Linked DNA regions of Coturnix japonica. The protein of the gene in region 3 purifies or fractionates together with the protein of the main gene of each other region. This does not show direct contact. Links are inferred from orthologs where the notes say so. Each region holds a gene or a part of one and is shown on either strand. Other genes may lie near its edges. The genes, in order: YBX1, STAU1 and LRRC59.

What was found.
Region 1: the proteins of LRRC59 (region 3) and YBX1 purify together in Homo sapiens (co-immunoprecipitation; 3 studies listed by BioGRID and IntAct, with this or other methods). This does not show direct contact. The link is inferred for Coturnix japonica from reciprocal best matches to the Homo sapiens genes LRRC59 and YBX1.
Region 2: the proteins of LRRC59 (region 3) and STAU1 purify together in Homo sapiens (affinity purification with mass spectrometry; 3 studies listed by BioGRID). This does not show direct contact. The link is inferred for Coturnix japonica from reciprocal best matches to the Homo sapiens genes LRRC59 and STAU1.

Annotation. Positions count from the first base shown.
Region 1 is NC_029536.1:5,557,535-5,564,963, forward strand, and holds the start of YBX1 (Y-box-binding protein 1), read right to left. Parts: upstream 5,078-7,429; 5' UTR 4,902-5,077; coding exon 4,742-4,901; intron 4,398-4,741; coding exon 4,334-4,397; intron 1,024-4,333; coding exon 990-1,023; intron 321-989; coding exon 231-320; intron 23-230; coding exon 1-22. UniProt on the Homo sapiens protein: DNA- and RNA-binding protein involved in various processes, such as translational repression, RNA stabilization, mRNA splicing, DNA repair and transcription regulation.
Region 2 is NC_029535.1:5,662,861-5,670,442, forward strand, and holds the start of STAU1 (double-stranded RNA-binding protein Staufen homolog 1), read left to right. Parts: upstream 1-2,800; 5' UTR 2,801-2,959; intron 2,960-7,073; 5' UTR 7,074-7,140; intron 7,141-7,582. UniProt on the Homo sapiens protein: Binds double-stranded RNA (regardless of the sequence) and tubulin.
Region 3 is NC_029533.1:9,092,083-9,099,539, reverse strand, and holds LRRC59 (leucine-rich repeat-containing protein 59), read right to left. Parts: upstream 4,160-7,457; 5' UTR 4,146-4,159; coding exon 3,882-4,145; intron 3,607-3,881; coding exon 3,547-3,606; intron 3,134-3,546; coding exon 2,975-3,133; intron 2,634-2,974; coding exon 2,529-2,633; intron 1,843-2,528; coding exon 1,770-1,842; intron 1,537-1,769; coding exon 1,363-1,536; intron 884-1,362; coding exon 639-883; 3' UTR 97-638; downstream 1-96. Other genes in the region: ACSF2 (medium-chain acyl-CoA ligase ACSF2, mitochondrial), read left to right, coding at 5,618-5,679.

The DNA.
Region 1 (7,429 bases), on a different chromosome or scaffold from region 3:
TCACATTCGCTGCCTCCGCACCCTGAGGAGCAGGGAGAGCATTAAGCAAGCAGTGAGCACCAAACCGGTGTGATTCAGCACCCAGCACCGATTTGCATCCCCATTTGTAAAGCAATGAGCAACCATTCATCTCCCTGGATGTCGTCAGGCAACTGCTCAAACCACAACACCACAGCAAAGCCCGCAGACCTGCAGTTCAATGCATGCTCCAACAGCCCAGACGCATTTACCTTCTCTCCTTCAACCACATCAAACTCCACGGTCTCTCCATCTCCTACGCTGCGGAGGTACTTCCTGGGGTTATTCTTCTTTATGGCAGTCTGACAACATAATATGGCACAGTTACATTCACAACAGGAAAACGCTACTCAGTGCATCTCAAGTTTGTGTTGGTGTTTTGGGGGGACTGAATCTATTTATTAAGACATCCTCCTGGACAAGTCATTAAGCCACAATGGGAACTCAAAGCCAGTGTGTGCTTTATTACTGCTCTGACCTACCCAGAGCACTGTGCAGCCTTACAGCTGTTCCAGGACTATCTGCCCATACGATTCCAGTCAGAGATACAAAATAGCCCCCAAACAATGCAAGCTGCATCAGAAGTTTCTCTCTAAGCACTCTGTACATTCCTATCAGGTGTATGCATTGACTAAAATAGTTATTTGGGGTTATTTCCTGTGCTGTTCAGCAGCATACTGCATTTCTGACAGCTGAGCACGTGCTCTATAAGCACCATTCTCAGCCACGTTCTACTCAGCAAACTTTTTAACAAGTTTAATGCCAGTAACAAATTAATGCCAGCAACATAACGTGGGTCCATTTGTTCCCTAAATGGAATAAAATCCATCATAAGAGATGTCACAAGTTTCAGCACGTAAGCAGTGATTTTAGGGAGACAGGAAACCCTTGTCCCCTCCAACCCATTTGGCTGAGGTCATGCACAGCGCGTATCAAAGAGGTAACACGTTTCAGTTCCCAGCCCATCTTACCTGATGGACAAACACATCTTCCTTGGTGTCATTCCTGCAAGACAGCACCAAAGAGAAATTCAGATGTGAGACAAGCTGCGTGAGGGCCCAGCTTCAAATTCAGTTGTTTAGGGGTGAGGGGAAAGCAGGGGAGCACCGGGACAAGTAGCTGTCAGCTCTGCACTGCTCAGCCTGCTCTAAGGGGAGGCTGCCTCAAAGAAAGACCTTGTTGGGGACCTGTGTGAGGTGCTGAGTGTTTTCCTCCCTCCCCACATATCCCACCAACAGGCTCGGAGGAAAAACACCTGACAGCCCATCAGTTGGGATAGCACAGTGGAAGATGTGACATCACAGGCTATGAAAAGCAGCACACACAGCCTGCGTCCCCAGCTCCATTTCCTGCAGTGATGAATGCTCTATGAGGGCAGCAGCGTGGCTAACAGACAAGCAGGGCACAGGGAGCTTCCTGCTCCACAGTTACACAGCACAGCCCCGGAGCTGTGCTCACCGCTCACAAGCTGTGAGCCCTCAGGCTCACATCACACCAGCTGAGCCTTGCTGCAGTGTCACTTCAAGTCATTCCACAGCCCAATGAATCAACTGCTGAATGCCTTTTATTTCCTAGAATACATGTTATAGGCACAGCTAGTGCTGCAGTGCTCAGAACTGGACTCATTTAAAGCCAGTCACTCCTCCCCGTGCCTTTAACACACGGCAATAACAATACTGTGAACAACTCGATCCAAGTTACAGCTGCCCCGTCACACAGTACCAGCACCACACACCCATTTCCTTATGGAACTGACGCCTGCAAGAACTACTGACCTCAGAGCTGACGGAAAACAGTTCATCCAAAGGGCTACAGAAGGTGATCAGCTCAGCCCCAGCCCCACCAGGCAGCACCCAGAAGCTCTTAAAAAGCCTAAAACTCTTACAAACACAACATGAGATCATAGATGTTCCAGCTGAGGGCCTTGAGGGAAGCCCAGCGCCTGCATTCAGTCAGTGCTCACTGTGCTCCCAACAAATGCAGAGCTCTTCAAGTGTGGATGCTCTGCACTCCTCCCAAACCCCATTCCTCCAAGCACATCAGCTGCTCCTCATTTCATTTAGAGCCCTTTCTACATCACATTTCCCATTGAAGATCATGCTGGAGCTCTGGCTCAGTAAACGACTCAGTTACACTGAAGCAGATTAAGGTGGAGATGTGATTTGTTCAGAACCCTCCTGGTTAATTCTAAAACCCAGTGTCTGCCATGGGATTTCTGCACTAAGCCCATCGAGGAGCAGCACATGAGCTGCCACACGGATGGTGTGGGAATAACCATCTGTAAATAAGACAGGAAGCACAACAGGAGCTGCCCATTGTGAGGCACTCAGCTCATCGATGCTCTTAGTATCTTTAACCTCTTACTAAAAATAGTAATAAAAATCAGAAGAGCAAGCGGTGATTAAGAAAACACAGCAAAGCTGTCAATACAAAGCCAGTTATCAGTGTGCAGCCCCAATTATGGCAACAAGAGCAGCTCAACAGCCAGCACATTCAGTTGTTTCATTGACAGCTGACAGAATCCAAGCTAATATTTCAGAAGGGAATAATAGACGTACTTAATATTAATATACAACAACAGGCTACAACCAAAGCCAACGTGAGCTGCGAGCAGACCCAAACAAAGCTCCTGCGGCTTCCCTTGTGGTGAGCCTGAGCTATTTGGGAGCAGGGGAAATGTGCTCCAGCTCAGTTCTCATCTCTTGATAACAGGAGCTCACGCTGTGTTTCTCATTAGGAACAGCATCCTCAGGGATTAAACAGATGCCAATATAATATGAGCGGGGAAGCCATTCAGATGTCTTAACTAGCTGCTCCTGCTTCCACACTTGACTCATGTAGCAGCTATGAGTGGAACAGGAAAAAACCCTCCCAGAGGCTGTTAGTGAGCTGGAGCTGTGCACGCACCTCCAGGAGCAGGGGATGCTGCTGGGCTCCTCTAACAGCTGTTTGACACCTGACACTCAAACACCACTGGGCCAGGCTTTAGAGCTGCTCACCAGTCAGAGCTCAGAGGATGAAGACCAGGCCACAGTATAACAGGTAGATGAAAAGATGACATTTAGGCCAAATTTTCCTGAAAACATCAGTACCAACACTTGCTTCCCTGGAGGAGGATTCCCCAGCCTCCTCCTGTCAACCCCTGTGACAGCAGATTTGAAGTCACCAGCTCCCATTCCATGTATCTTTCTTCACCGTGGTAACTTGATGGAGCTCACAGCACTTTCCTGCTCCTCAGAGCCACGTGCTGTCACAAACGAGAGAAGCAGCAGTGAACTCCAGCAGGAAACAGAGCTGCCCTGGGGCCTCCTGCATCCCAGGTACCCGGCAGAGGAACATCCTCCAGGGCTGTTCCATGACAACACCACATAGAAAAACAGGGCTCTGCAGAACCACCACCACCTGCAGGCACTCCAAAGTGACTGAGGGAAGAACCGTTCTCTAGATCAGCTGCTGGCAGAGAAAACAGCCTGACAGCACGTTTCTCAAGGCCTAGACATCACATAATCACAGAACTGTATGGGTCAGAAGGGATCTCTAGAGATCAAGCCCAACCTCCTGCTAAGGTGTGTTCCCCAGCACAGGTCACAGAGGTGATTATCCTTTGGTCTTTAACATCTGTAGATAAGTAAGCACGACTCTGGGCTGACTGCTCCACTATTGACAGTAAAGTTCTTCCTTGTGCTATTATGGAACTTCCTGTGTTCCAGCTTCTACTCCCTGCCTCTTGCTCTGTGCTGCACACCACCAACAACAGTCTGCCCCCACAGACTTGACTCCTGCACTTTAGTTCCTTAGAAGCAGTGCTAAGATCCCCTCTCAGCCTTTCCTCATACAGGAGACACTCCAGGCCCTGATCTCATTCCAGCCCTCCACTGTGCTCTGCCAGCAGTTCCCTGCCTGCCTTCAACTGGGCAGCCCAGCACCAGGCCCAGTGCTCTGGATGTGGCCTCCCCATGGCAGAGCAGAGAGGAGAACCTCCCTCACCTTGCTAACAACACTGTGGGGTGCTGCTGACCTTCCTGGTTTATAGACACAACCTTCCTGGTTTATAGTCACCCTATTGGCCACCAGGTCCCTCACTGCAGATATCCCCTCAGCAGCCTGCGCTGATGCCCACAGCTGCTCCTTCCCAGCTCATGACTCTCACTGAAGCTCATCAATCCCTCTGACTCCTCACAGCCTCAACTTCACACCGAGCTTTAAACAACGTACTGACAGCCCGCAGCACCGCGCCGGGAAGCAGTTAAGGCCTTATACCGCAGGCCACGCCACCCCCCACGCGCCCCCCCACCCCCACCGCCGCCCCGCTCACCTGTTGATGAAGCCGTAACCGTTCCGTACGTTGAACCATTTCACTGTTCCCAAAACCTTCGTTGCTGGCAGAGAGAGAGAGAGGGGAGGGGGGGGGTGAAGGAGGACGAGCAGAGCGCGGCGTCATGCGCGGCACGTGGCGGGGCGGCGCACACAAAGGCCCCGCGTGGCGGACATCTTGAGCCGCAACGCCCCGCCCCCACCCGACACGCGGGGCCCGGCGGAGAGCGGCGCGCGCGCGGGGGGGAGAACGGGGCGGGAAAGGGGAGCGGGCGCGCGCATCAACGGCCAACGGGATGTGAGGGGGGGGGGATGGAGGGGATGGAATGGAGATGGAGGGGGTGGATGTGAGGAGATGGAGGCTGTGTGGGGAACGGCCCCCCCGCCCCCCGCTGCCCCCGTCCCTCACCGATGACCTTCTTGTCCCCGCCGGCGGGAGGTGCCGCCGATCCCAGCCCGCCGCTCCCGTTCCCGCTGCCGCCGTTGGGTTTGGACTCGGCGTTGTTGGCTGCGGGAGCCGCCGCGGGGACGGGGGCGGCGGGCGGCTGGGTCTCGGCCTCGCTGCTCATGGCGGCGGCTGTTCGGTGCGGACGGTGGTGGTGACTGGCTGTTTGCGCCGCCTCCCGCGGTGTGATGGTGACTGAGGCCGGCCGTGGGGGGGCTGCTCCCTGCTCCGGGCTCGCTGAGCTCCGCTCTCCGCTCCCGATACCGATCGAACTGGCCACAATGGCGGCCCGCACCGGCTAGCCACCCCGCGCGCCCCGCCCGCGCGCGACGCTATTGGCCGCTCGCCCCGCCCGTCATTCTGCGAACCAATCCCGTGCGCCTTTCCCCTCCCGGCGTTAGCCATTCCCTGAAAGCCCATTGGCCGCGCCGCCTGCCTTTCCTCATCCCCGCGTTCCCATTGGTCGCGCAGCCGGCGGTTGCTGGGCTTCTTTTTCCTCCCGCCTACTCTTTCTCCCCGCCTCCCAGCTCTGATTGGTCGCCGGCTCTGAGGGGGCCGAGGTCGCGGCGCTGCGGGTCCGGCCGTTGTGCCCGGTGTGTCCGTAACGGACCGACGGTAACACGAGCCAACGGGCCGCGGGGACGGCCCGGATGTGGAGCAGGAGCCGCCGTCATTACAGCACGGTGTGTCCTCGAGGCACACGCCTGTAATTGGGCCGTTTCACAGCCAGGCCGCAGCTCTGAGCGCTGCTCAAAGCCGGGTTTAATGAGCCGCTTCCCAGAGACACCCCCGGGCTGTGACTGCAATGGGGAACGGGCGGTTAAACCGGCTCCGGTTTAATATCACAGCTGGGAGGGTGATACTCAATGCATCGGGTGTCAAACGGAGCAGATATATGTGCTTTATATGGCAAAGTGGCATCTGGGTGCGTCCCATCAGCACAAACGTCTCCTTTTCTGCTCACCAATAACCCACAGATGGGAACAGGGCCCAGCTTTATCCTCCGTGGGGGAATGTTCAGCCCTTGGCTCCTAGGAGAAACCTTGGCCGTGCAAAGCCAGAATGGGATACTATGGGATACTATGGGATACTATGGGATACTATGGGATACAATGGGATACTATGGGATACTATGGGATACTATGGGATACTATGGGGTGCTATGGTGATGCTATGGGATGCCGTGGGGTGCTATGGGACGCTACAGGGATGCTATGGGGTGCTATGGGACGCTACAGGGATGCTATGGGGTGCTATGGCAATGCTGTGGGGATGCTATGGGGTGCCATGGGGGTGCTATGGGGATGCTATGTTTCCTTCATCACCCAGTGTACTGCATGTACAAGTGAGACACGCTGAGCAGGAGAGAATCAAGTGCAAGTGTTCTCAGCAGCTGTGCAGTCTCACAGCCTGTCCTGTAGATTTTAAACAGCTGTTAGATAGAAGATGACACCAAAGCATGCCCACAAGGATCACACATTAGCGTCAGCCCACACCACCCTCAGACAGCCCCACACTCTGCACCTCAGGCAAAGCTCATGGAGCATCGAGCTGAGCCAGGAGCAGGTTGGGATGGGACAAAACAGCTGCACGTGACAGCACAGACTGAGAGTGCTGCAGGGGAAACTCACCTTGGTGCCCAGCACCCACAAAGGGTGACTTCAAGCTGCCCAGCAGACAAGCCTGCAATCCCAGTCTGACAATGAGAGGTTTACCACAAACCTTCAGCCTCAACTCTGTTCTCTGTAATGACTCTGAGTCCTGAATTCTACAGCTTGCTCATTCTCTGCTTGCTGGACAAAATGCCTTCTACTAACACCGTTCTAACACCCATGTTAATTCCTCTAACACCAGTGGCTTAAAGGAACCTGATGCCTTTTGGCCCAGAGGACTAACAGCAGAACTAAACTCACCCCAGAGCCCAGAAAACCCTGCCCATCATGCCTTGATCCTGTCCTGTGCTTCAATAAAGTGACATGTAGAAAGATTCAGGACAACCCCCAGAACTTCTCTGCCAGGGCAGCCCCACAGGCAGCGCTGGTGCAGCACAGCTCAGGTGTGTTCCTTTCATCTCTGCTTTCCCCTTAGCAAATGCCCTGAAGCAATGTCTCTCACCACCACACAAGGGAAACATTCTCTGCTGAATCAGCTCGGGGCAATGCACAATGAAAGCAGCAGGCCTTTTTGCCTAAAGAATCCACTCCCAAACATGTTTACTGATATCCACTACGCACATATTAAACAAAATCCTTTATTTACATTTCAATACTTTAAAAAAAAAAGAAGATATATTCCAATTATTTAGTTATTTCAGGAGCACATCTGTGAGGAGGACCGGGACAGTGGGGATACTGGCTGGAGCTGCGTGGAGCTGGGAAAGGCCTGTCCACCCATAACGGAGCACTGAAACAGAGGAGAACAAACAGTCCCAGATGCTCAGCAGCCACCTTCAGCATCCCACAACAGCAGCACAGGGTGCTGAAGTGTGCGCTACCTGCTGCACCAGCTCGTGTCAAACCTGTCTCCAGTCCAGACACCTGCGACTGGCTTTGGGTTTATAACCAAAACTGCCAGTTTCTCTGAGCTGATTTGAAAGGATCTTTACAAATAACTCATTTAACTGTCTGAAATTGGGGGGGAGGGACCCCGTTC
Region 2 (7,582 bases), on a different chromosome or scaffold from region 3:
TGAGAACTCGTTGAGATGGACTGCAGCAAGCCAGAACCTTTCTGAGAAGCAGCCAAGGAAACTCTCGTTAGAATAACAATTTATCTTCACATTCACCATATTGCACTTCCTGCAAGGTGTGTTTTTCACTTGTTGGACAGACATCATGTATGATTAAGTGCCTTCAGATCAACGAATGCTAGTGTATAGCTGTTCATCAGAAGATTCAGAGTTGACTGCCTTAGGCATTGTGGCCATGGCACTGTTAATGATATGTTGTTTAGTCCTGATTACTCTGCAGGTTCCAGAAGGCATACAAGTGTTTATTTACAACATTTAACCTTTCAGGGAAATGACATTTTCAAGTGTAGTGCAGGCACAAAGATCATCTCTTCTTCAGCATACAAGGAAAGGTTAATAGCAGAACCCTCACCTTTATTCAGGTGGAAACATTATTGCTACTTCTGACATCTCCTGTCCTCAAGATTTAGGAAGCAACACAATGTTCCACAGAGCTTTATCTGTTGATTTTAATGGAAACTGACAAGCAGGGCAATAACAGTTTTCAGAAGACTGATGAACTTCTCTGAGCCGCCCTTCAGTGTGTTATTTATTACACAGTTGGACAAATACGAGTTCCCTCAGAAAGCTTGGGCTGGGAACAACTGCTGTCTGTGGATCTTCTGAGGATCTATGAGCATCTACTTGGATTTCAGACGAGTCCTGCACATCGTGGAGCTGTCACCAGTTCTCCCTTGTAACTGATAGTGGTATTACATGTATTCAAGGGAAAAATTATCACTTCTTTTTGAATACAGAATTGGTGAAAGGACATTGTTTTGCATCCCTTGATGCCACAGAACTAATCTGCTGTCCTGGACTATTTAAATCCTACTGACTTCTGGTTCTCAGTTTGTAAATACTGTGTCATCTGTTAATACCAAACACCTTATTCTTTATAACAACAAAAATCCCACAGCCCTCCAGACTACTACATCATCTTTTTGCATGGGTTCTGAATGGACCAGGATGAATCCAGCAATGGCAGCAGAACCTACAAAGTTCTATTTCCTTTTTTCTTCACTTAAACATGTGCTGAAGTAAAAGTCATCCTTCCAACCAGCCAGATGTTCCATTCTAAGAATTACCTGATGAGTCCAGAGCACGTTCCTTCTCACAACTGACTTCTGCTTTCAGAAAGTAGTTTTCTTTAGGCTCTCAGCCCTACTTGAAGGTACCTTCCACCAAGCCGTACTTCTTTGATTGTTGAAGTACTTCTGCACTTGTTCTGTGACCTTTCAATGCGAACATCCTTCCTGTAAAGCTGTCAATGGCCATCCAGATTTGAGCTGTCAGAGGAGCCAAAGAAAAAAAATTAAAGCAGAGAAGAACAAAATGCAATGGAATAAATGCTTTATTTTCCCTTAGCCTCCTCCCCCTATTCACTTAAATGAAGTAATTACTGCCTTACTGTGACTTAGAGGAAATGTGGCTGTAAGGATAGGCAATAGCAGATATAACGGCTTTAAACCAGTTTAGTATCACCCACAAAAGGTAGAGGTCACAGTCAGATAATACAGGAGTTGCTTACCCAGTTTTCTCTCAGAGTAATGAGCCACGTGAGGTCAAAGCTTATACTGGACTTAATGTTTTGTATTCAAGATGAGATTAGAAGTAAATACGTTATTATGAAGTAATTAATAGGAAGCGAAGAGCCAGATAAGCAAAATGGAGGGGGTTTGGCACAACTCCGTGGGATATTGAGCTTAACTGCGTTTTCATTTCCAAAAGCTGTGAAGAGAAATTCACATCCCTTTTATTTCCTTCCAACTCTCACAAGTTGTGAGCTGCAAACAGGCCTCTATCCTGACCCAAAGCTGCTGCACTAAGAATGGAAATAAAACTGAACTTGCAGTGAAATAGTTTTGTATTTCTCTCTCTTCCCCCAACTCGCTGCACAAAAAGCTGTTAATGTAACAGACAACATTCAGCCTTTACAGTAACAGTTACACAATTTCACTTCCTTCTGAAGTTTAACTGTTGCTTGAATGGGATCTAACAGCACAGATGATGCAGCAGACCTCAAGAACATCCAAGCAGGTGTTTGAATGTGATACGGGATATATGTGTCTGTATAAATGGAGAATGGTTTGTAACTGCTACGTTGTCAATTGATGTTATGTGTATCACAGGTTTTCTTTCCGGTATCTTTGGAATCCATAGCGGTATTAAATACACCCATGGATATGAAGCTTTAGATCCGTTCTTGGGTTGTGGTTTGTTTCAGCTCAGTGGGTACTTGTGATTCTCAGCACTGAACATGGAGGCTGTTGTGCTTACAGTGGACTGAAGGTCCATCTGTCAGGTTTGTATTGCTCTGGAAATGGCAGAAATTACCATCATGTCACTTAGTGACACCACAGGGTTTAACCTTGTGATTTAAATTGTGTTTTTAACCATAAACTCGTGATTTAAATTGTGTTTTTAACCATTAAGAACGATAAAATATTCCTAAATCACTCAGTGCTCGCAGTGTCCCTTCCTGCCATATAGGCCTGACCCTGCTCTGGTGGTTGCAGTCCCGGTTGAGCTGTGCCCGCGGTGCACGCTGGGAGTTGTAGTCCCACACACACAGCCGACCTGCAGCTGTGCCGCGAGGCACGCCGGGACTTGTAGTCGCCCTAAAGGAGGCGGTGCTCCCGTCGTCCCGCGCTCCCATTGGCCGAAAGCGCGGAAAGGGGCGTTTCCTTTGGGGCTTTGAGCGCTTCCGATTGGCTGCCCGCCTCCCCCGCCTCCCGCCTCGGTGGCGTCACTTCCTCCCCGGCCGGAGCTGGCCCCGCTCATTCTCTTTAGTGTTTGCCCTGTACCCGCCGCTCCCTCCGCCGTCGCCCCCCGGCCCCCCCCGGGACCCGGCCCATGGACTGAGCCGCCCGCTGGCCCGCCCCGCAGCCGGCCCGGGAGCCGCAGCCCAGGCAGCCAGGTGAGGGGGAGGCGGCCCGGGCTCCCCCCGGTAGCGGGGCGGGGGGTGGCGGCGGGGCCTAGCGAGGCCCTGGGGAGGGGCCCGGCTCCGCTGTCCCCCCGCCCCGCTCCGGGCCCTGCCCAGCTGAGGGGGGAACGGGCAGGTGGCGGGGGGGGCCGCCCCAAAGAGCCGCAACGGGAGCGGCCCCTGCCCTGCCCGCCGATAACAACGGGGGGATCCCGGTAGCACCCACCGGGAGGTGACAGCGGGCGGAACGGCGCCTGCCCTCGGCCCGGCCCTGTCCCGTTTCAGCGTGTGCGGACGATGGTGACCGCCCTCGGAGCGGGGCTGTGTGAGCCGGGGGCTCTCGGGGTGCTGCTCCTCAGGAGCCGCCCGACCCCTCCGGTTGGTGTCAGCACAGCAGCCCGCAGCCTTCACCCCGCGGACATCGCGGCGCTCACCCCTTGGAGGCGGTGGGCAGTGCTGCTTTGCTGCCCGCGGGCCCCGTGCTCTCCTATGGCTGCCCCCCGGTCCCGGTCGGTTGCAGTGATGATGTTTCCCCGTTCCTTGCTCTCGTCACGTAGTTTCTCAGGAGCCGTGGTAGCAACAAGTTCTTGTCGCATCCTTATTGCTCTCTGCCCCGTTTGTGCTCTGTGTGGGGTGGTGCTGTCGCTGGGAGCAGTGACAGCCGCTTCTCGTCGATCTGTATTTTGGGGTGGTTTTTTTTGGGTCCATTTTCTGACAGGTTAAAGGCAAACCTGGAAGAACGTCATTGGGAATTGATAGGCAGCGAGGTGTATCAATAGCAGTGAAATGAGATACCTGCATGGAAGGCCCCTGCCTGCTTTTAGGGCAGTATATTTAAAGAAGTTCTTAAATCCTACCGATGACACACGACCTCAGTGCGCAGCTGCTCCGTCCATGCTGACAGATCATTACTTTCTAAAAACCTTTTCACAGTGAGTTTTGACGACACAGCGATGGCTGTGATGGAGCAGAGCGTCCCTGATTTGTCCATTTATCATCTTGCAATGAGATATCGTGGTACCAAGCAACAAATCTGTGTGCTCAGACTGCTCTGGAGGTGGTAGCTGTCATAACTTAAGCAGATGACCATCACATCCTGGTGAAAGCTTTAGGATTAAATAGTTACAATTGTTTCTGCACGTACCTTTTTCTGATATTGGCTCAGAATTTCATTTCAAAGCTGCTCTGAAGTGTTTTATCACAGAATCATAGGACGGCCTGGGTTCAAAAGGACCACAATGATCATTTAGTTTCACCCCCCCCTGCTGTGTGCAGGGTTGCCAACCACCAGAGCAGGTGAGATAACAATTCTTTGTGATTACTTTAAGTAGACTCTTTCAGCAGTGATTTGTTCTGAGGACAACACGAACTTTCACAAGTGTTTAACATTGTGCTGTCTGGAATCCTTGCTGGGGTTCCTTATTGTGTGAGAGTTCTTGGAGATGTGGCTGGAGCCACGGAGCAGATCTGTGTGTGGTTACCATGTGAGCTGTAATTAGTAACTGTGGCTCTCTGACCTGTCGTACTTCTGGGAGCAGCAAGCAAATATGAAGTGCAGCACCCAGCTGGAAGCAGCCATGTGAGTGAGCGTTCATCTTTGTTGGTGATCACCTCATCACCTTCTAGTTGATTCTCTTGCACTGTTTGGAGCTGTCTGGTTTATGTGCACATCTGTCAGCTCCCTTCTGCTCCTTCAGGTTTTACTTTCAAGTCGTAGCTCTTCATCAGCTTTCTCTAATTCATGACCCGTTCCATTGCTTCTGAACTCTCGTGTCTTATGGAGTTTTATCTTAGAAAGAACAGCAGCTTTCTCTTCAACGAGTGCTGGTTTTGAGATGGTCCTACCCAGATGCTATAGAACAAGATTTGTTGAAGATGAAGGCGCTGCTCAGCTGTGTTTTACGTGCTGTGTAAATAGCCTCGGGTCTATAAAGTTTGAAGTATTGTTTATCTTTATTGGTAGAGTGTATTTATTTACAGTTCAGTTGTAAATGACCAAGTGTTGTTGATGCTGTTACAGAAGCCAAGTGCTTTAGGATTTCATGCTATATACACAGAGCTACTGCTGTGCATTTTTGAGATCTATGTTAGGAAATGAACCATCTCAGCAAACCTGTTGGAATTTGTGGAGATGTGTGTTGCCCCCAAGTGAGTATGCAACAAAAGAAGGAGGTTCTGCCACCATATCTGAGTTATTTAAAGTTCCTTTAGAAAAGGCTGGAGGAATGGAGTTGTTCTGAAGGGTATTTTGCCCAGCAGTGATGGATGCACAGCAGCCTTCCTCAGTCTGAAGCAACGGGTGGCAGCGTGGCTGGACCAGTGGCTGCTCTGCTGTAGGTGACCGTAGGTGTGTGCTGGGCTGGGCTGCCCCAGTCAGAGAGTGCAGTGCCAGAGGGGGAGGCAGTGAGTGCTGTGTATCCCATGGGTCATTGTTTTGGTTGTCTGGATCCCACCTGGGTACTTGCATCTCTTGGTAGAGTTCAGGCTTGGGCTTTTTTTGGTCTCTGTTGAGTGGATGCATTTCAGGGAACCGTCCTGCTTGGTGAACAACCTGTCAGTAATGAGGAAAATGAATCACCTTTGCTCTGCAACTGAAGGGGCAGCAGCTGTTCAGGTGCCTTGTGTTGTGAAACATCCCATTTCAGAAGGAGTTTTTTTGTTTAGATCCTTGTTTTCTGTAACAAAACTCTTTCTTGGTTATTGTCTATGACACAATTTTTAGCTGCTCATCTCAATCTGTAATTTGTGTCCTGATGGGTTTGTCTGGTATCAGTTTCTCATTCCCCTCTGCTCTTGTACCTAAAAGGCCCCTGTCTGCTGCTGGCAGCTCATGAATTGGTGCACAGAAGGTTTTAATGAGATATGCCTGCAAGCTGTGATAGGCGGCTTAATGGCATGTGGTTACGTGTGGCACTCCAGATGTGCATGTCCTAGAGAACAGAACACCTTCACATCTTCTGCTACTGACAGTGAATAAAATATATTCTTTGGGAACTCGGTCTCTGTTGTGTTCTCAGCTGGCCACTCGGCGCTTGGAGCACATCTGTGGTACATCATTGTGAGATCCTCTTTTTCCTAACCTGATCTTTGAGCTGCAGTTGCTGCCCCTCAATGATGGGGAAGGACTGGTGCTGGTGTTGCATCTGTTTGCAGTGGCAGCTCTGAGGCCTCATTCCAAGTGTGTGTTTGTCAATTACTTCAAGTTTGCCAACAGTTCATCTCCATCACCCACAGTGATATGGTGCGTTGCAGTCCTTACTATTAGAAAGTTCTGTCTCCATGTATGTTTAAGCCTGCCACATCTTGCTCTGTCACTTCAGGCATGGAGAAAGATTATTCCTTTCCACCCCAAGAGCTGTGTTGTGCTTGTGGGCTGCTGTTGTCAGCCCCAGCTTGTCAACCCCTCCTCTTCAGCATATGTGAGCCCAAATCCATCCATGTTTCTTATAGGATATACTTCTCTAAAGCTCAGAGGGCCACCTGCTTTCCCTGCTTTATTATTTATTGCTAACCGGGTCCATATTTGTCTCAAGGTGTGGTACCCATGTAGTATGGATGCAGTGCTCCAGCTGAGGGCTCAGTAACACTGATTTGGAGTCATGGGCTGCTTCTCAGGCTGTTCTGCTTCAGGATGATGGTTGCTTTTTACAGAACAGGCTTGGAATTTGCCTTTTTCTGTATCCTCCTCTGTTCGCAGGGTCTGCTGATGACTGGTTACAGCTCTAGGATTCATTGTAGGGTTTTAAAACAACTCAAGCAAATTGAAGACCTCGTGCATCCTGTTTCTCTTCTAATCTTAATCAAGGTTGGGGCCTTACCTGCTGTGCTGCTGGTAGTAACGCTACTGTACTACTGGACACCTGTGTGCAGTTGGCTTTAGTCATGGAAAAGGATTAAACACTTTGTGCTATATTTTTAAGCAGAATAAAACAATGTTTTGATTTCCATTTAGAACAGTCCACGCAAATGATGGATTTCATATTTAGCCCCCAAAAAAGATTAGGAAGCTTCTAGTAAGGTTGGTTTTTTTGTCTGAGGGAAATCATTCTGTGATGTTTGCTGTAGGCTTTTGTGGAGCCAAGTGCTAACTCTCTCTTTTTTCTTCTAGGGATTCTCCGTCATAAATACCCTATTCACAACTAAATCCAAATCTCCCCTGACTGGATCTTCTAAAGGTACAGGAAACTTACTTAAAACGCTCGAGTTTCTTACTTTTTACTTGCATTATATTAAAGAAAGCTCATGTTGTGGTAAAGTGTGATGATCCCCAGGAAGTGTCTGTTATGTGACCCTGTGGCTTTTATGTGCAGCACTTTGATAGTTATGATACAGGAAAAAAAAACACAAAAACACAAGAAAATTTGAGGATTATCATGAGGACAATATTGAGACAGGCAATAAAATTTAAAATACCGATGTCTGATTTAGCAGAAATAAGTATGTAAAGGTGGGAAATGAGTGAGTTATGTGATTTACAATGGTATGTGTAACATGTGAGTTTGTTCATCTATCTGTCACTCTTAGCTTGTAGGTCCCAGCAGTGTCACAAGTACTGCATAGGGGTTGGGTGATCTGTAGTAATGTTTGTCTTTATGTGTGAAGTAGTTGTTAACCTCT
Region 3 (7,457 bases):
TTACTGTACGCAGTCAGAAATCAGTTTTAGCTGTCTCTAGGTACCTAATTAGAGGAAACAGGATCCTGTGCTAGCAGTATAAATACTCACTTCAGATAAATTGATGCAAAAAATGTTATATTGAAAACATTCAGTTTCTTTCAATAGTACATCAGCTTCTTCACTCCAACATACAGATGCACAGCCATTCCACAAATGTAATTGGTCCTGGAGTAGGCCTACATATAATACTCCCATACAGCCATGTCATCAGTTTTAGCACTAATAGAAACGAGAGCGAGAAATGGATATGTATTAAAAAAACTCATACCTCCATTACTGAGCTACAACTACCTAGGTAACTGAAAGTCTTTTTTCCCCACTCCTATAAATTGACATCTTTCTGTGTCTTCAGATCTAAGTGTAAGTCCCTTGGAGGTGAGTGGTATTAAGTTAATCTAGGCAGATGATGGGAGTGACAGGCCAACTGAGAAACATGCACAGCAACGATGATCCAAACAATAACTCTATGCGGAGTGGACCAGCAAATTAATGCTGACGGATAAAAAGCAGTTTCATCAGAACACAATTCCATAGGAATTCTGGCTGCGTGGATGGTGAAAGGAGATGCTGACAAAGCAAGTGCCCATCCAGGACGATCACTGCTGTGAGTTCTGCTGTAGCATGTTCTGCAGGGTTTTGTGGTTTTGCACGGCAGCAACTACGTCTTCATACAGAGTGTTCACACTGACACACAGTGGTTGGTGTTGCAGCTCTGTCAATTTGCAGACAGCCAAAGTGCAGAGGATGCAGAGCAGCACCAGCAGCAACACCCTGAGCACCGACCGTGACCACGAGTGCTTGTGCCGGGCTGGCTGAGGTGGGCGAGAACTGGAGGCAGGCTCTGCAAAAAGAATGTTTGCAAGGCAGAATGTGAGGAATTATTCAGATATCCTTAACAGTCTATGCGATGCTCCAGCATCATGCTTTTTAGCCTGTGCTATGCTCACGTTTTCTCAAAAAACTCATTACTTAAGGTGAAAAGCATGAGACTTGCTTTCATGGGAAGAACTGAGAAAGGAGTAGAGCATCCGTGTGCTGCACAAGATCTGTTTTTAAACCATAGTTCAGTACATCTAAGATTAAATGAGTGGAAAGGAAGCTCATAGGAACACTCAGAACTTCATGAAATGTAATCTGGCAGTTCCCCCACTCCTGGTCTCACTCAGTACCTGAGCTGCATGAATGCAAGTCTGGCATTATCAAAGCTATAATGCAGGTTAAGCATAATGCAGTTCTGTGCCAGTGGTCTTGTTCACTCTTTTCCACAATGCAGACATTAAAATACACTTTACCTGAACTCCCTGTGGAGTTCTTACTTACTTCGGGTCTGCGCAGTCTCCTTTTTAGTTTTCTTTTCCACCTCCTGTTTTGCAGCTCTCTGAGCATCGTATTCCCGTCGTCTGCGTTCCTTTTCTTCTGCCTTCTCTCTCTTCCTCAGTTCCCTCTCCTGAGCCTCCCTGGCTCGCTGTTCTGCTTCACGCTTCTTTTCCATTTCTGGGGATTAATGGCAGTAGGGTTGAAATTACATGATTTTTAAGGTAGCTTCCAACCTAGGCCATCCTATGATTCTGGCAGGAAGGCAAGAGCCAGCATAGTGTCCCAGGTTGTCTTTCTCCACCCAGCCATTCTACCCTGCTCAGAATTCCGATAGTTACAGCTATTTGCCTGCTGGCAATCATTTCTATGGGCAGAATTCAGCAGTGTGCACGTGAGGACTTCGTGCTTACCTCGCTCTGCTTGGAGCTTTCGTTGCCTTTCTTGATCCTGCTCGGACTGGATCACTTTCATGTGCTGCAGTACCTTCAAGGTCCAAGAGAACAAGTTGAGATGTCTGCACAAGGCTCACGGTGGGGGGAGTTCAGAGCGGAATGGCTGCAGCGTATCTGAAGGATCAGAGGATCTGACCATTGATCTGCTCTGATGGCCGCAGCTGACTGAGCCCTGCAGGGATGACTTGAAGGGAAGTCTTGCTACATGAATCTTTGCAGTTAAGAAACAGAGGTCTCTGCTTTAAAATGATATGGAAAACTGGTGCTATCGGTTACAGAGGATCATGGAACAGCTTGTTTCATCAGACTGAACTATTTCACGGGAGCATGGCAAGGCAGTAACAGAAGTACATATTTTAACTATTTTTACTCCACGAATCCCAGCAACAGCTATTTACATGACCCTATGGCTTCCCATAATATTTCTATGAAGATTTTTATACTGTAGAGTATAACAAAGCCTATACACAAGTTATTTTGTCTGATTGTGCCTTCAGTTCCTCAGCAAAGCAGCATTTAGTCCTCTTAATTCTACTAAGGGAGGAAAGTCCCGCTCAGCTCAGTTGTTTTCTCTGTAGCCATGGATGCAGTAAAATCAGTGCAGAGAACTGGCACCTCACTGGCTGAAGGAACTTTAGAGCTTGCTCAGTAAAGAGAGGAAGAAACATCGCCACCAAAGACAAGAAACAAGAGTAAAAGAGCAGGCAGGTTCCTTACCCTGACCGCTGCCTGCTTGCACTGCTTCTCATCCAGGCAGTCTCCGGCTACTTTAGCTAGAACAGGATCCAGGGGATTGTCCTTCAGATCCAGCCACTTCAGGTTCTGCAGGAAGGGACGCGGAGGACAGGCTGTCAGAGCACACTGCAGGCAGCTGACCACAAACAGCACGACAGACTCGTGGCTATTTAAGACATTCAAAGCAGAAGCAGTCACTCGGTTTTCCCAAGGATGATGAAATGGGCACAGAGGACAAGCAGCGAGCTCGGTGCTCTCAATAGATGGGAGAGAATTTCCACCGGGCTGCGGTGCAGAGACGGCTGGATTTTGGACTAGCAGTCAGCAGGATGGATGGATGCTTCACCAGAGAAATCAACTCGAGCAGGATCACAAGACCCTGGGCTGCATCCCAAAGCTTTACGTAACCGCCCGGCTGACGGCTTTACCTTGAGCTGTGCGAAGCTGACGGGCAGCGTGACCAAGCGGTTGTTGAGCAGGTCCAGGTGCTGCAGACTGACCAGGCGCCCAAAGTCCACGGGCAGCTGCTGGAGCCGATTTTTACTCAAATCCAGTTTCACCAGGTGCGTCAAACTGCAGAAATCTGACTGAAACAAGCACAAAGCAGGGAAAGCATCTCAGCATCGGCCTGCGGGGATGTGCTGGAGGGTCTGCACCTGATACAGGCCACAGATCCTCAGCTTCCCACACAGCTGGGGTGGGGGAGAACCCCCCGCTCCCTTTGCCTCAGGAAAGTGATGTAGATGGCGGTGAGCAGCAATACAGCTGAAACAACTGGATTTCTGCGGCTGCTGGACCCGCTCTGTGTTCACACCGGGTCTTTGGCAGGAGGGCTCTGCACTCTCTGCTCAGTGCTGCTGATGTTTGCCTCGTTACCTGCCCTGCTTTGGCAGCAGCCCCCAGCTCACACTGAGCCAAGGGCTGCAGGAGCACTAAGGAGCCCTGCCCGGTATTTCCTACCAGCCCTGCTCCACCGTCACAGGGCGGTCGGGCATCTTACCGGCAAGGAAACCAGGCTGTTACAGGACAGATCCAGCACGGTCGCTTTTGGAAGCGCAGCCTGAAAGGGAGAGAAGTACGGGATGAGCGCAGGGATGCGGTGCAGGCACAGAGAGCTTCTGGAAGGTGCTACTTTTGTATCGGCCCTTCCGCGGAGCTACACTGTATCCCGACGGGCCGGCAGCCGGGACTGTGTCTTTATTTAAAGAGAAAAGCCGCAGTTATTGGCACGGACGGGCAGCGCTGACAAACAGACCCGGCACCATCTGCTGCCCAGCCCCGCACAGCGGGTCACGGCGCTGCTGCCCCGCAGCCGGCATCGCCCCGCACGCTCACCAGCTCCCTGACCGGCACCTCGCTCAGCCCGCACAGACTCAGGTCCAGCTCGTTGCCGTCCAACTTGTCCCTCAGGCTGCTCGCCCTGCCGCCGCCCCGCGCCATGGCCGCCCCGCCAGCCACTTCCGCGTCCACGTCCGCACCGCGGAGCTGCACAGCGCCCCCTGCCGGCCCGGAGCGCCGCCACCGGACGGACACCGAACTCGGCTCTCGGGAGCTGCAGCTGGACCGAGGCGTTCCGCTCTGCGAGGAGGAATTCTGCATCTTCTCCTCTGATCCAAAAGCTCCGCCAGCAAAGTGCTCTGTTGTTCTTGTCCCGGGTGACCCACGGCCAGAAAAGTCGGTGGAAGAGTTTTTCCTGAGATAGAACCAAATCAGAGCTCCCCAGTAACGGGATTATGGTGAGGACAAGCTTTGAGTTTCTGAGCCCAAACACGCATTGTGACATATGTGCACTTACTTGTTCAGAGGGCAGATCTGTGCTGGGGACAGGAGGTCTTACACCTCTTTGTTGTTTGTTTGTTTTTATCACGGACACTGATTTTTGTTTTCCTCTGGTTGCAATCAGCATTTCATGATGAGGTTGTGCTGTGAGCATATTTTATAGCTTTGATTTCTGAGATTCTCTGCAGCCAGTGTTGATGCCCTTGTTCATAAGATCTGTTGTGCATCTCCCATTGCTGAACTCTGGTGCCCATCTGGGCAGAGGGGTTGCAAAATGAACTGCTAGTGATCGTCCTGCAGGTCAGTGGCTGGGTGAGAATCAGGCCACCTCTCAGCCCACTGCTGGTGGCACCGCCTGGTTAATGGCCGTGTGATGTTTGAGACACAGGTTACCTTCTGGTACCACATTTATACCCCGGCTCCCAGCAGTGCCCAGAGTCCATCAGTCATTTGCTACAAGGAATGCCATGCACGCCAGCCCTTCTGCGCCTGTGTCAGTGCTGCCGTGTGCTGCAGGGCTCCTCTGGGTGCTGCCTCCCCCTTCCCTTGGCGTGCCCAGCTCTGCATCTCCTCACTGCTCTGTTTGCATGTGGTGGGGCACAGACAGCCAGGGAGTGCTGAAAGCTGTTAGTGAAGTGGTAACTGTGATAACTCATGTGAATAAGGCTTGAAATCAATTAATGACTCATAGAGCTCTGACAGATGCAGAAAACCAGAAGCAAGCAGCGCTGGTTGCCTTGTCAATTTCAGTCCTTGTAGCAAAGTCCGTGTCAGCCAAGGCACTGGGTTTGCTTGTAGGGTTCAGGGCGGCTGCAGCGTAGTGCTTGAGGCTGGGATTGAGCAGAGGGACATTGCTGCAGGGCAGGGAGCTGGGAAGGGAAGCGAGCAGGGCGGCGGGGTTCAGTGCTGTCAGCAGCGAGCCAGTGGCCGGGAAGGAAAGGAGGGATCCCGGGAAGCCACGGCCGTGCCCTGGGACACGCAGCATCCCCGTCCCCCATTGCTCTAATGGGATACCTCACGCAGAGAAGATTCTTTGCAACCTGCTCTACCTGGCAGTGGTGGGGGGCGGTGAGTAGGGGTCCCAGCTCCCACCCCCACTCCTTCCTCCGGGGCCGGGGTGTTGCGGGGCGAGGCCGGCCAAGCCAAGCCCTGCCCTCCCCGGGGCCAGGCGAGGCCAAACCGGGGCTGAGGAGGCCGGGCCGAACCGTGCCACGCACCGCCCCCACCGGAGCCGCGTACGGAGCGGAGCGGGAAGGTGGCCCGGCCCCCCCGGTTCTGCCATCACCGCACACATGGCTCCAGCCGCGCTGCTCGCAGCTCTGCCCCGCCGCGGGCTGCTCCTCCTGCGTGCGCGGTACGGACGGGGCTGGGAGGTGGGGGGGAGGGGGGGAGCTACCGGGGGCCGGGTGCAAGGTGAGGGGGATGGAGGGGACGGGGGGACTGCGGGGCCGTGCAGAGGCTGTTGGGCAGGGCGGTGCGGGGCCGGCGGGGCCGTGGCTCCGAGCTCTGCAGCTGGTCGGCTCTTGCTTTTGTTTAACGCTGCCTTTTGAAACGAGCTCCTGGGAAAAACGGCGACGGGAAAGCAATTGGCTTCGGAGATGCTTGGAAGGATTAGTTGAAATTCTGCCTCTAATCCTACCCGGAGGCGCGACTTCTAAGAAGTAGCAGGGTTCGCATGCAGGTAATTCTTTTCAGCTGCGCTGTGATGGGGAGGTACCGTCTCAACATCTGTTCTAAAGAGGATCAGGAGGGCAGCAGCACAGAACGCTGATTGCAGGTTGGACTCCAGCCCAGCGTTCCGGGTGAAGCTGGGTGGCAGGAACCGTGACTCGCACCGAGTATTGAGAATAAACTTTCTAGTAACGTGAAGACGCCTGAAATTCTGCTCTTAGCACTGAGCGGTACTTGTGCTTTGGGCAGAACCAGCGCAGGAGGGAAAGGCTCACACGGGACAGCACAGCCGGTCTGCTGGAATTGAAACCCGAGCACTCTGTGAACACTCACCATCCCTCTGACTAAAGTCAACAAACACAAAGTAATCAAACGGTGATTAACCTCGCAGCCAACTGCGCTGCGTTAAAGAGCAAAGAAGAGGTGAAGGCAGCGCCGAGCAGTGCCGGCTCACCACTCTCCTTGCAGTTGCTTTATACAAAAGACCCAGAACTCGTTGCTCTGGGAAGGTGGCCGTGTCAGATCTGCACGAATGAGGAGCTGCACGTGGCGGCCCGGAGCTTCCCCAGGTCCGAGCTCTGCAGTTGGGTCGGTTCCGATCCACGTGCGCGGTGCAGTGAGCTCACACCGCCCTGAGTGGTGATTCCTGCAGAGATGGGAAAAGATGAGAAATGAATCTGGTTATCTTATGTCAGCGGCTGTAAAACCTTGGCTAGGGTTAATCACACGCAGCTCCTGGGGCTGATCCAGACTGCTTTATAAGGTTTGATGGGTGCCTGCTGGGTGGGAGCGCTTTCTGGGCCGGCTGTGATCCGTCTGCTGGGTTGGGATCTGTGTGTTAAGGAGTGAGGATGAGGCCCCGGAGCTTTTCTGTGCGGGGGAATTTCTGGGACTCGCATGAAGAGCTTTTCAGCTCCTTCTCATATTGAAAACCAGCCCTCATACATGGGCTGTGGGGATCTGACCCCTGTGAGGTTCCCCCCCCCCCTCAGGGCCCCCACAGGCCTGGGAGGAATCGGGCAGTTCTGTTCTGCCCGCTGTGGGTGTCTCACCTTCACTGGCAGCAGTGCAGGGCTGTGCATGCAGCTCAGGAGGGCAGGAAATCACATGGATCACACTGTATCAGCTGGAGGGTCTGGATTTCAATTGAACATTCTCCACTTTTCTTTCTGCTTTTTGTTTTGTCTGCCCCGTGCTGAGGGAACATGTGAGACCAAATGTGTTTTTCTACCCGGTTGGTAACGGTTCCTTTGGGTTGTGTCCCAGGAGGGTCGCGGTCTATGAAAGCCTTGAGCAGCTCCCAGCACAGCACAGCTCAGAGCCTGCTGCGCTCCAGGTGACCCCGGTGAAAGTGCTCTTGCACAAGCAGGTCGGCTTTGCTCGCTGACCCCCAGGCTCACCTGACCCCGGCTGACCGAGGGAGCTCACTTGTTTCTCTGCGCAGCTGGTGGGGAAATGTGG